Linked DNA regions of Oryctolagus cuniculus. The protein of the gene in region 2 purifies or fractionates together with the protein of the main gene of each other region. This does not show direct contact. Links are inferred from orthologs where the notes say so. Each region holds a gene or a part of one and is shown on either strand. Other genes may lie near its edges.

The links. Proteins that work in one complex are often made in the same cells at the same time.
Region 1: the proteins of SYMPK (region 2) and CPSF2 purify together in Homo sapiens (co-immunoprecipitation; 8 studies listed by BioGRID and IntAct, with this or other methods). This does not show direct contact. The link is inferred for Oryctolagus cuniculus from reciprocal best matches to the Homo sapiens genes SYMPK and CPSF2.
Region 3: the proteins of SYMPK (region 2) and CSTF2 purify together in Homo sapiens (affinity purification with mass spectrometry; 4 studies listed by BioGRID and IntAct, with this or other methods). This does not show direct contact. The link is inferred for Oryctolagus cuniculus from reciprocal best matches to the Homo sapiens genes SYMPK and CSTF2.

What each region holds. Positions count from the first base shown.
Region 1 is NC_091451.1:37,371,163-37,374,907, reverse strand, and holds the start of CPSF2 (cleavage and polyadenylation specificity factor subunit 2), read right to left. Parts: upstream 2,428-3,745; 5' UTR 2,288-2,427; intron 664-2,287; exon of another isoform or gene 642-663; intron 1-641. UniProt on the Homo sapiens protein: Component of the cleavage and polyadenylation specificity factor (CPSF) complex that play a key role in pre-mRNA 3'-end formation, recognizing the AAUAAA signal sequence and interacting with poly(A) polymerase and other factors to bring about cleavage and poly(A) addition.
Region 2 is NC_091449.1:11,193,064-11,196,708, reverse strand, and holds part of SYMPK (symplekin), read right to left. Parts: intron 3,601-3,645; coding exon 3,450-3,600; intron 1,893-3,449; coding exon 1,688-1,892; intron 939-1,687; coding exon 788-938; intron 1-787. UniProt on the Homo sapiens protein: Scaffold protein that functions as a component of a multimolecular complex involved in histone mRNA 3'-end processing. Specific component of the tight junction (TJ) plaque, but might not be an exclusively junctional component. May have a house-keeping rule.
Region 3 is NC_091453.1:91,889,251-91,892,995, forward strand, and holds the start of CSTF2 (cleavage stimulation factor subunit 2), read right to left. Parts: upstream 2,424-3,745; 5' UTR 2,310-2,423; coding exon 2,252-2,309; intron 1,231-2,251; coding exon 1,152-1,230; intron 538-1,151; coding exon 368-537; intron 1-367. UniProt on the Homo sapiens protein: One of the multiple factors required for polyadenylation and 3'-end cleavage of mammalian pre-mRNAs. This subunit is directly involved in the binding to pre-mRNAs.

The DNA.
Region 1 (3,745 bases), on a different chromosome or scaffold from region 2:
TTATATCAAGTCTTCAAAATCTAGTGTGTATTTTACATTTATGGCACATCTCCATTGGAACCATCTTGGGGTTGCCATTGTGGCACAGCGGGTAAAGCCACCACCTGTGACACTGGCCTCCTATATGGACTCCGGTTTGATTTACAGCTGCTCCACTTCCAATCTAGCTCCCTGCTAACAACCCAAGAGCTTGGGCCCCTGCACCCATGTAGACTCTCAGAAACCCCTGGCTCTAGCCCAGTTCAACCCTGGCTGGTACGGTCATCCAGGAAGTGAACCAGGAAGTGAACCAGCAGGTGGAAGACAGCTCTGTAACTCTTTCAAACAAATCAACAAGAACTAACTACATCTCAAGCCCAACAGCTACAGGCAGCTACTGTAGTAGCGCAGGCCTACCCTCCACAATGGGTGCTTGAGCAGTAACCACTGGGCTCCTGCCTCTTCTCGGGGGCAGGGTGGGCCCACTCTAGTTTCCTGGGCATGTTTTGCTGTGTTTTGCTGGCATCACCAACCAGTCAGTCTCCCACACTGAAACCCCGAGTCCCTCCTTGCGGAAGCTGGCGGTCACCAGCTGAATCCCACTTGACCCTAGTCCGACATCCTTTAATGTCCTACCTCAACAGAGGCCCTCATTGCCTTACCTGGAAGACTGTAACTTACTCGCCCGTTTTCCTGTTCCAGGCTGAACCTCCATAGCTGCCAGAGACCATCCTAAAAAGCAAATAACCTCACTTCCACTCCTGGTGCGAGGCACTCACTGGCTTCCTGCTAACTGCTGAAAAAAATCTAAACTCCTTGGTTGGAAATCAAGGCCCTGCACAAGCTGATCTCAACCTGCCTCTTGCTTTGCCAGCCACCTGGCACAGCACACACACACTCCCTAAATACGCCAAATATTCTCAAGTCTGCATCCCTGAGCTAAATCCAGAAATGACCTTCTGAGCTTAGCAAATTTCTTTTACTCTTTTGTGGCCAAGTTCAAACAATGAGTAATTCATGGAGCTTGGTTATTGTTACTTTGAGACAAAGGGACTATTGTTGAATGCATAAAGGCATCACCTTTGTATTTCCAATGCCAGGCACAGTGCTCAAAGCAAATACAAATGTGTCCTGAGAGAGGGATGAACCCTCACACTTGGAAGCTCCCCCAGGGCGGGGACCTGACAGCGACTCTGGGTCTCTATCACTGTTATGTGGGCTCTCAGTAGGGACCAGGCAGGTTGGTGGCGGCTATGGATGTGTGCAGGATCCAAGAGAAAACGGAGATGGGGCCGAAGCTGCAGCACAGACGGTAAAGTCTCCTCCTGCAGTGGGGGCAGCCCATCAGGGCACCAGTTTGTGTCCTGGCTGCTCCACTTCCAATCCAGCTCTCTGCTATGGCCTGGGAAAGCAGTGGAAGATGCCCAAGTCCTTGGGCCTCTGCACCCACGTGGGAGACCCGGAAGAAGCTCCTGGCCTCAGATCGGTCCAGCTCCGGTTGTTAAAGCCATTTGGTGGTGAACCAGAGGATGGAAGACCTCTGTCTTTCCCTCTCTCTCAAATAATAAATCTTAAAAAAAAAAAAAAAAAAAAAAGAGAGAGAGAGAGAGAGAAGAAAAGAAAGAAACGAGACAGTAAGCCATGGAGTGCAACGCCTCTTCCTGGTCAGTGCAGGGCGAGCGGCGGCTTCATCCCAGGGGACAGGACTCGAACACAAGTGAGGGCTGGCTCAGGGTCGCCTGGTCACAGGAGCCCAGACGTGCGGGGGCCACAGCCCCTCGGACGCCTCGTTTTCTGAGGGCCTTGTCAACAGAGAGAAAGAGGTCCCGGGAAAGGCGGCAGCGAAGGTGCAGGCGCCCGGGGCGAGCCGCGCGCCACCGCCGTCTGCGAGCACACCTGCTCTGCGCCCTAGGCTCGGCGGCCTCGTGGCCCTTCGGCCCAACGCCGCGGGAAGGCCCTGAGCCGAGGGGCTGCGAACGGCGCGCGCCCGAGCCCCGAGGCCCAGGAGCCAAAGCTGGCGTCAGGCGAACTCCTCCGGCGCCGAGAGGCCCCAAGGACCGAGGGAAGCCGAGCGGGACGGCGGCGGACCCGACAGGCCGGCGCGGAAGACCCGGGAGCGCTACAGCCGTAGGCAAGGCGCTGCTGCTCCTCCGTCCTTGTGCCGGGAACCACCGGACAGCCGCATCGGAAGCCGCGGGAGCTCGTCCTCGGAGGAGCCGGGTCCTAGCTGCAGCCCTGTTGCCCCGGCGCGCTTAGGACGCCTCCTCCCCCATCCAAAGACTCATGCCTTTCTCCCGCCCTCACTTGCCTCGTCAGGCCTCCCCCAACGGCGTCCACTAGGGCCCTGCCCAACCCCTAGTCGGATCCAGGCTCAAGAGGGACAAAAGCAGACGTTCGCTCAGCTGCAACCCCGACGCCCGGCCAGCAAGAGCCCCGCAGTGGCGGCCGCCATTTTGAAACCGGAGGCGCGGAGCCGAGGGGGAAGATCCAGGGTGATACCACCCGGGCCGGGGAGGGGGGGAGTCGAAGCCGTGGGAAGGCGGTGGCGCCGACGCCGACAGATCACGTCACCTCGGGCCGAAGTTCCGTCAGAAATTATGGTTGGTGTCCGAAAGCTTTAGAAAAGTAACAAAGAATCACGCCCAGAAAGGAAGGCGAGGTATGTGTCGCCGGCCGCCACCCCTCTCCTCCGTCCGCGCGCGGCGAATGGCACGTCCCGAGGTCGCAGCTTCCGCCGGCGCCGCTGGCTGTGCGGGTCGCTGCCCTTGGCGGTGGGTCGTGCTGGGCGCCGGCGCCGCAGGTGGGTGCGGGTGCGGGTGCGGGGGTCCCGGGGGGCGCGGTTCCGCCGAGCCGGGTGGAGCGGGTGCGGCGGGTTCTAGGAAAGCCTCGGCGGTGGTCCGTGCTCGCGGTCGGGTGGCCTGGGCCTTCCCGGCGCCTCCGAGCCAAGGTGACGGAAAAGGAGAGGGGATAGGGCTTTTGAGGGGACGACAGGCTTCGTCCGCGGCTGTCGTGACTGGGAAATGTCTTTAGCGGGGGCCCGGTGGCCGCCCCGCTGCTGGACGCGGGGACACCGGCGGGACCGCATGCGGGGGCCCGCGGAAGTGCGTGACGGCCGCTTGGCCTGTGTGTCCCGGGCGGCCGAGGCTCAGCGCTCCGTCTGCTCGCCTGCCTCGCTCCCTTCTGCTTCTTAAAGCCTTAGGTGTGTCACGTTCGTGCTCGGTTGCTAAGGTGCGTGTCCTTCCGTGCCCCAGGAGCTCAGTTCCTCCATGCACTCAGCACTTTGCATTGGTAAATTGAAACTTTCTGGGCAAAACACAGGGTGTATATATATATATATATATATATATTTGTATGTATATGTATATTTGTATATATATGTGTGCATCAAGAGTTTGAAGTGATTTAAAAAACAAGAGACAACGATGCCAGGTGGTTTTTTTTTTTTTTTTTTTTTTTTTTAAGATTTTATGTATTTATTTGAGAGGTAGAGTTAAGACAGTGCAAGGGAGAGACAGAAAGAGGTCTTCCATCTGCTGGTTCACCCCCCAAATGGCCACTACAGCCGGAGCTGTGCTGATTAGGAGCCAGGTGCTTCTCCTGGTCTCCCACACGGGTGCAGAGGCCCAAGCACTTGGGCCATCCTCCACTGCCCTCCCGGGCCACAGCAGAGAGCTGGGCTGGAAGAGGGGCAGCCAGGACGGGAACCGGCGCCCATATGGGATGCTGGCGCCGCAGGCGGAGGATTAACCTAGTGTGCCACAGCGCT
Region 2 (3,645 bases):
GCTAATCCTCCGCCTAGCGGCACCGGCACACCAGGTTCTAGTCCCGGTCGGGGCACCGGATTCTGTCCCGGTTGCCCCTCTTCCAGGGCAGCTCTCTGCTGTGGCCAGGGAGTGCAGTGGAGGATGGCCCAAGTGCTTGGGCCCTGCACCCCATGGGAGACCAGGAGAAGCACCTGGCACCTGGCTTCGGATCAGCGCAGTGCGCCAGCCGCGGCGGCCATTGGAGGGTGAACCAACGGCAAAGGAAGACCTTTCTCTCTGTCTCTCTCTCTCACTGTCCACTCTGCCTGTCAAAAAATAAAATAAATAAATAAATAAATAAACAAAATAAAAAAAAAAAAAAGAAAGAAAGAAAGAAAAAGAAACTCCTGGCTCCTGACTAGCCCAGCTCTGGCCATGGTGGCCACCTGGGGAGTGAACCAGTGGACAGATCTTTCTTTCTTTGTAACTCTTTCAAATCAATCAATCAATCAACCTTAAAACAAACAAACAAACATTAACTTCCAAGAGCAAGGCGGACATTGTCTGAGGTCCCCCTGTCAGCAAGCGGCAGGATCAGGCCTCAGGAGCAGGCACGTCTGAACCCAAACACTCGCGAGGACCTCCCAGTGCGCGCTCCCCGCCGGTGCACACGAGGGTGCCTGTGGCTCCCGGCACGGCAGGGCGGAGTTGCAGCCACTGTGGGCTTCACGGAGGCGGAATCAGCTGTGCATGGCGGGCTGGGCGCTACAGCACTTGGCCGGACCAGAGGGAAGCCTTGGGGAGGGGCTGAGGACCAGGCACACACCTGGGCCGCCCCACTGCAGGCCACGGCCTTCTCGGCCCGCAGGATCCGCTTCACAGCACTCAGCTTCATGGCCTCAACCTGGGCGTCGGTCAGGGGCTTCAGCACGTCGCTTAGACGGAAGATTTTCTTACGCCCGCCGGCGCCCGCCAGCCTATGGGAGAGCAGGGACAGGGACAGCGTCGCAGCGGTCTCTGCACCCAGGGCTGGCTTCAGGCTGGCCACTGCCCACTTCGAGGACATGGCCGGCCTACAGTCGCCTGTCCTCTCGGCCCCACTCTGTCTCTCTGAACCCAACGAGCCTGAGGCCTGCCAGCCAGAGCGCTCGTTAGGAAGTGAGGACCAGGACGTGGTGATGCACCCGTGAGGGTGCTGTGAGCGAGCGGGGACAGCTCTCGGCACACTCAGCGCTCACACTCACACTCACCACACTCACTCACCACTCACCACACTCAGCGCTCACACTCACCACACTCAGCGCTCACACTCACCAGTCACACTCACCACACTCACCACTCACACTCACTCTCACCACACTTAGCACTCACACTCATCAGTCACACTCACCACACTCACCACTCACACTCACCACAGTCACACTCACACTCACCACACTCTACACTCACACTCACACAGGCCAGCAAGCACGCAGAGTGCTCTCCGGTCCCCATCACTGTGAACCCCAAGAGCTACCCACTTTGGCTGTCTGGCCCCCGGGAGGAAGACACTATTATCCTCCCAATTTCAGACACACAAGAGGGGAAACCACAGGCTCGATGGCTAAGGCATCGACTGGAACTGGAGAGCCTGGCTGACCTGGCTGAGGCCTTGTCCTGTCTGAACATCGCCCACCGTGCACACGCACTTGCACACTATGGGCCGGGCCCAGCTGCAAGGACTCACCGAGGCTGCGTCACAGGGATGATGGGCTCCGGCCTCCTCTTGGCCTGGGGCACCTCCTCCTCCAGGGGGGACATGGCGCTCAGGGACCCCACCACCGAGATGGCTTGGCCCTGAGCAGACAGGCGCCGCTTGATCAGGACGCTCTCTGGCTTCACCACCTTCTCCTCCTTGGGCTCCTCCTTGCACTGCTTGGTCTGCTCCACGCCTGAGGGAGGCGGCACACGGTGCTCGCGCGCCAGGCCTGCCCACCCCATCCAAGGCCCTCCTGTGTGCCCAGCTCTAGTCCAAGCCTAGTCTGTAAGTTACTGCACATTTTATAAAGCACGAGTAGAAGGGATTTTGGGGACTCATACTGTGGTGCGCGTGTTAAGCTGCCACCTGCATCTTAGCATCCCATATGGGCACCAGTTCAAGTCCCAGCTGTTCCACTTCCGATCCAGCTTCCTGCTGGTGCCCCTGGGAAGGCAGCGGAAGATGGCCCAAGTGCTTGGGCCCCTGCACCCACGTGGGAGACCCAGATGGAGGTCCAAGCTCCTGGTTTTGGCCTCGCCTAGTCCCTGCCATTGTAGCCATTTGAGGAGTGAACCAATGGGTGGAAGATCTGTCTCTCCCTCTCTGCAATTCTTTCAAATAAATAAATAAACCTTTAAAGACAGAGGAGAGGAGAGGAGAGGAGAGAGGTGGGGAGGGGAGGGGAGGGGAGGGCTTGGAAACTCCCCACCCAATGCTCAAGGAGCTGGAAACACAGGTCACCCTGACTTGATCACTCCATGCTGAGCACATGCAGATCATCACACTGTACCTTACAGACGTGTCATTATTATGTCAACTAAAAATAACCAACAACGCGTAAAGAAGCCTGATTTCCTGTGATCCCACTTACAAGGTACTTCCACAGTTCATGGAAAATGAAGTTAAACGGTAAACTTATTTTGGTACAAAAAAGTCTGAAATCCATTTATAGCTGTTTCCATGAACTTTCTGAAGACTGCTCTTCTACGAAGCTCAAGAACAGGCAGAGCTGAGCTCGGGGCAGAAGTGAGCACGGCGTTTCTCTGTGGGGTTGCCCCGGGTGCTGTCTGGGGGCGGTTCTCTGTGGGGGTGCCCCGGGTGCTGTCTGGGGGCGGTTCTCTGTGGGGGTGCCCCGGGTGCTGTCTGGGGGCGGTTATCTGTGGGGGTGCCCCGGGTGCTGTCTGGGGGCGGTTCTCTGTGGGGGTGCCCCGGGTGCTGTCTGGGGGCGGTTATCTGTGGGGGTGCCCCGGGTGCTGTCTGGGGGCGGTTATCTGTGGGGGTGCCCCGGGTGCTGTCTGGGGGCGGTTATCTGTGGGGGTGCCCCGGGTGCTGTCTGGGGGCGGTTATCTGTGGGGGTGCCCCGGGTGCTGTCTGGGGGTGGTTATCTGTGGGGGTGCCCCGAGTGCTGTCTGGGGGTGGTTATCTGTGGGGGTGCCCCGGGTGCTGTCTGGGAAGCAGCGAGGAGGGGCCCCTCCCTTGGCCGGGGGGTTCACTCTAGAAACTCTGAGGTGCTGTGCGCTCCGCTGACTCAGTCGCGCTGTCAGCGCGGGGAAGACACTGAGGCTGAGACGCTGGGTGACCTGACCAACGCCACGGTGAGCAGGTGGAGCAGGCCGTCTGGTTTAACTCAGACCTAAACACAGGGCCTGAAAACCATCACTCACGCACTGGCCTTCACGTGACTTTCACGCGCACCACCAGCAGGGGGTGCTCTCGCAGCGAGTGGAGTGTCAAGTCAAGTGCCACTCACCAGGCCCCAGTCCTGCGGCCGTCATCTGTGTGGCCATGAGCCGAGCCAGGTGCTTGATCTGGGCTTCGGTGCCGGCTGACTCCACGGGGGTGTAGATGGCTTGGAAGGAGGCGGGCATGGCCTCAGGCAGGTACACCATGCTGATGAGGACCTGTGGGTGCCCGGAAGAAGAGCCTCTCTTAACTGTGAGCTCAAC
Region 3 (3,745 bases), on a different chromosome or scaffold from region 2:
GAGAACTAGGTATATTGACTTCTCTTCACAAGTCATCTCAGAAACAAAAGGTTTAAATAGAAAAAGATGCTTATTTCAAAACAGAATTCCTGGATCTATTACTATGACACGCTTAGCACTACTAGTAGCTTGGTGAACCTGAACTCCTCTTTAACTCAAAATAAACTCCTTGGCAACTAAAGGGTTTCTAAAGTCAATTTTACCTTTTTTTCTCAAAAGACATACTTCCCTAACTGAGGCACCTTGGTAGATTAAGAAACTGTATGTCTAACCATTTCAAAATATTCTAAAACATATGATTAACAGAATATTTGTATTGTTATATTATTCATAACTCTTATTGTATACAATTTGGGTTTATACTCACTCTTTAACTCTTCTTTGTTCTTTTCACTGGCTGCATTGTCCACTCGAAGTGCTCTCCCACTGAATTCACGTCCATTCAGGTTCCGCATGGCACTAAGTGCTGTCTCTTGGTCTTGGTATTCACAGAAGCCATAACCCTTTGGCTTTCCTGTTTCCCTATCATATACCAATCTAGAGAGCAGAAGCAGGTATCAGAAACATGCAGTATTTCTGCTAATATTGACATGCTCTGATTCAGCTCACTTTAAATAACCTTGTAACTCTCATTACAGTATTTTTAAAAATTTTATTTATTTATTTATTTGAAAGGCAGAGTGACAGACAGGAAGAAAGAGATTTTCTATCCACTGGTTCACTCCCCAAATGGCCTTAATAGTCAGATCTGGGCCAGGAAAAAGCCAGAAACTCCATCCTGGTCTCCCACACAGGTGGCAGGGGTCATCTTCTACTGCATTCCCAGGTACATTAGCAGGAAGCAGAGCAGCCAGGACTCAAACCAGCACTCCAAAATGGGATACCAGTGTTGCAAGCAGTGGCTTAACCCACTGCACCACAATGTTGGCCCCCTCTTAAAACATTTTTTAAGAAAAAAAAAAAGCACCTTTTAGGTAAGAATGAATGTGAATTATATAGTTAGTTATATATTGATAAAGTTGCTAAGAAATAAAATGCATGTGGAAAGTTACCAGTTTGAAAAACAAACAAAAAACCCTACTATTATTACTAAAAGTCAGATTTGCTGGGATTTTTAAGAAATTCTCATAAGAAGTAAAAGGAAGTCTCACCTAAAACTAACAACAGGTCCAACCTCAGAAAAGATGTCCTTTAATTGTTCTTCAGTAGCTTCATAAGGAATGTTTCCCACTAGGGAAGAAAACAGGTAATACTAAAATTCAGAGTATGCAGACCTTTAGTGAAAAAGCACAGTGTCTACTTATGTCACTGACTATTTAACATCTGTCTCAAAATAGTGTTCTCCAACTCCCAATTCCACTGCACTTTTTCAGGCCTCTTAACAAGTGAATCAACCAGTGAGACTAAATGCAAAAGGTATAGATACTGATGAATGTAAGCTCACAGATCTGCCCAGTGTTAGATTTTTCCTTAACTGTTGGTGAAAGTTACTATTTAGGCTTTGGTATTTACCTGAAGTTCTGCAAGTCTCGTCAATAGCTACTAAAATATTTATATACAATTTAAAAAACAGTTTCATATGTAAGTATTTTCACACATAAACGCCCTTAAGGAAGAATGACCACGATTCTAACAGAGGATGTTTAAAAACTGTTTTGTCATTGCCTCTTTCAAAACGTGCTTTAAAAATTATTACACGTGTTTTTTTTTTTTTTAAACAACTTATTCCAGTCGAAGAAAATTACTCAGAATAGTTTTGGTCCTCTTTAAAATTCCTCTGAGGCGATTTTAATTGTTATTCATTCATTTACTTAGAATCCATTTCAGGACCACAGGTGGCTGGTTGCACTAAAACGTTACAGGGAAGAAGCAAAGAATGAAAATTCTTTAGAGGACGGGGAAGTGGACACAGGTATCTGTACACTCAGCATATAATCTATATTCTGGGACGGGGGTGAGAAGTACTATGGGACAGCAACGGGCTGTAGCCATGAGCCCTCTCTTTCAGACAATAATTGAAGCTCCGAAAAGGAGAAACGCATAAAAGCTGAACGTAAGTCTAACTTCCTCAATGATACCGCGCAAAGCCTGTGAAACCTCAGGAAAAGGGGCGCATCTCTGCCCACGAGTCCACCAGTTGGCCGCCCCACAGAATAGGTAGAGCGCCACAGCTCCAGTGGCGATTCAAGAAGGGTGGGGGTGCCGGGGGAGCGTCCCTCCCCGACGTTTGGCTCAATCAAATTCCTCTCACCAAATACAGAACGTAGAGAACGATCCACCGCAGGGTCTCTAACAGTCAAACCCGCCATCGCTCTCTTCCTGCGGCTTCCGGTGCACCTAAGCACACTTCCGTACAGCGCGCGTGCCCAGCACCGACCACGCTTCCCTACGGCGCGTGAGCAGAGAGCGCCTGGGCGTGGCGGACGCAGGGCTCCGCCCCCTAGCGTCATTCCGTCAGCTTCTGTCGCTCGGCACGTCCAAGCGAGAACTAAAGCTGTGGGGTGGCTGCAGCCTGAGAATAACTCTTTCCGGAGTAGGATTCGTGTAGGGGAGGTTAAACTAAAAGTTTTTAGTCTGCGAAATTCTTTTTGGTTTATTTTCTTTAAGGCTGACAGAAATACTGGTCGACCACCGCGAAGATGGCGGCGGCAGTTACCGTGGTAACGAATAACTTCATTTTAGTGCCGCCCTCTTTCGGGCCATTATATTTTGCTAAAACTGGGTGTACGGAGTGAGGTGGGGGAAAGAAAGGCGCGCCAGTCAAGAGAATGGGAGAACGAGCGGCGCTCTAAGTCTACTCTAAAAGGAGTGGCGATTTTATGGAAAGAACAGACGTAACCCTAGGGTCCATGTGCTAGGTTGGAGGGGCGGTGTCGCAGGGGATATTGACAGGCAGAGTATTGCAAACAACAGAAAACATGGAGCGGTGATAACACACTCTGGGTGCCTGCGTTCCTGGGATACGGTGTGCTGCAAAGGCGAGATGCTAACTCCCAGAAAGGCAGACCCTGCCCGGGTTGGAGGAAACCCAGAGGAAGGTACCCGAAAAGTACAGAGCTAGAGGAGGAAAAAACGAGGAGCGAAGAGCACGATCCAGAGAGAACTTGCTGTCTCCCGAAAAACAGAGGCAGTAAAATAGCCACAGAATTTGACGTGTTTGCTGCACATGTATTAGAAGTGTGCTTGCTTGCAAAATGAGAAGTATTTTAAAAGGTGAATAAGTGCTGCATTACACATTGAACATGTCATTTCAAGAAGTAATTCTGGCAAATATATAAAATTTTGGAAGATAGAAAGTTTTCACTCCCATGACTCAATTTCCTTATGGAATCACTATGTGACCAAAAGAACACCTTGTGAAATAGAATAGTCCCAAACAAGATTTACAGCTCTGTAATGCCGGTTTCAAAGAGTTTTGGTATGAGTTGTTGTTCCCAGTATGGTGAACTTTTGCTAAGTACACATATGGCCAAATATACCAGGGTACTTCAAACAGTTCTTGGGAAAATGAAATTAAAAGATAAGTTCATTTTGGTGCCCCAAATTTTTTGAAATCCATGCATAGCTTTACTTTTTAAAATATTTATTTATTTATTTGAAAGGCAGAGTCACAGAGAGAGAGAGAGAGAGAGAGAGATCTTCCATCTGCTGATCCTTTCCCCAAATGACTGCAATGGCTGGAGCTGGGCCAATCCAAAGCGAGGAGCCAGGAGCTTCTCACAGGTCACTCACGTGGTTGCAGGTG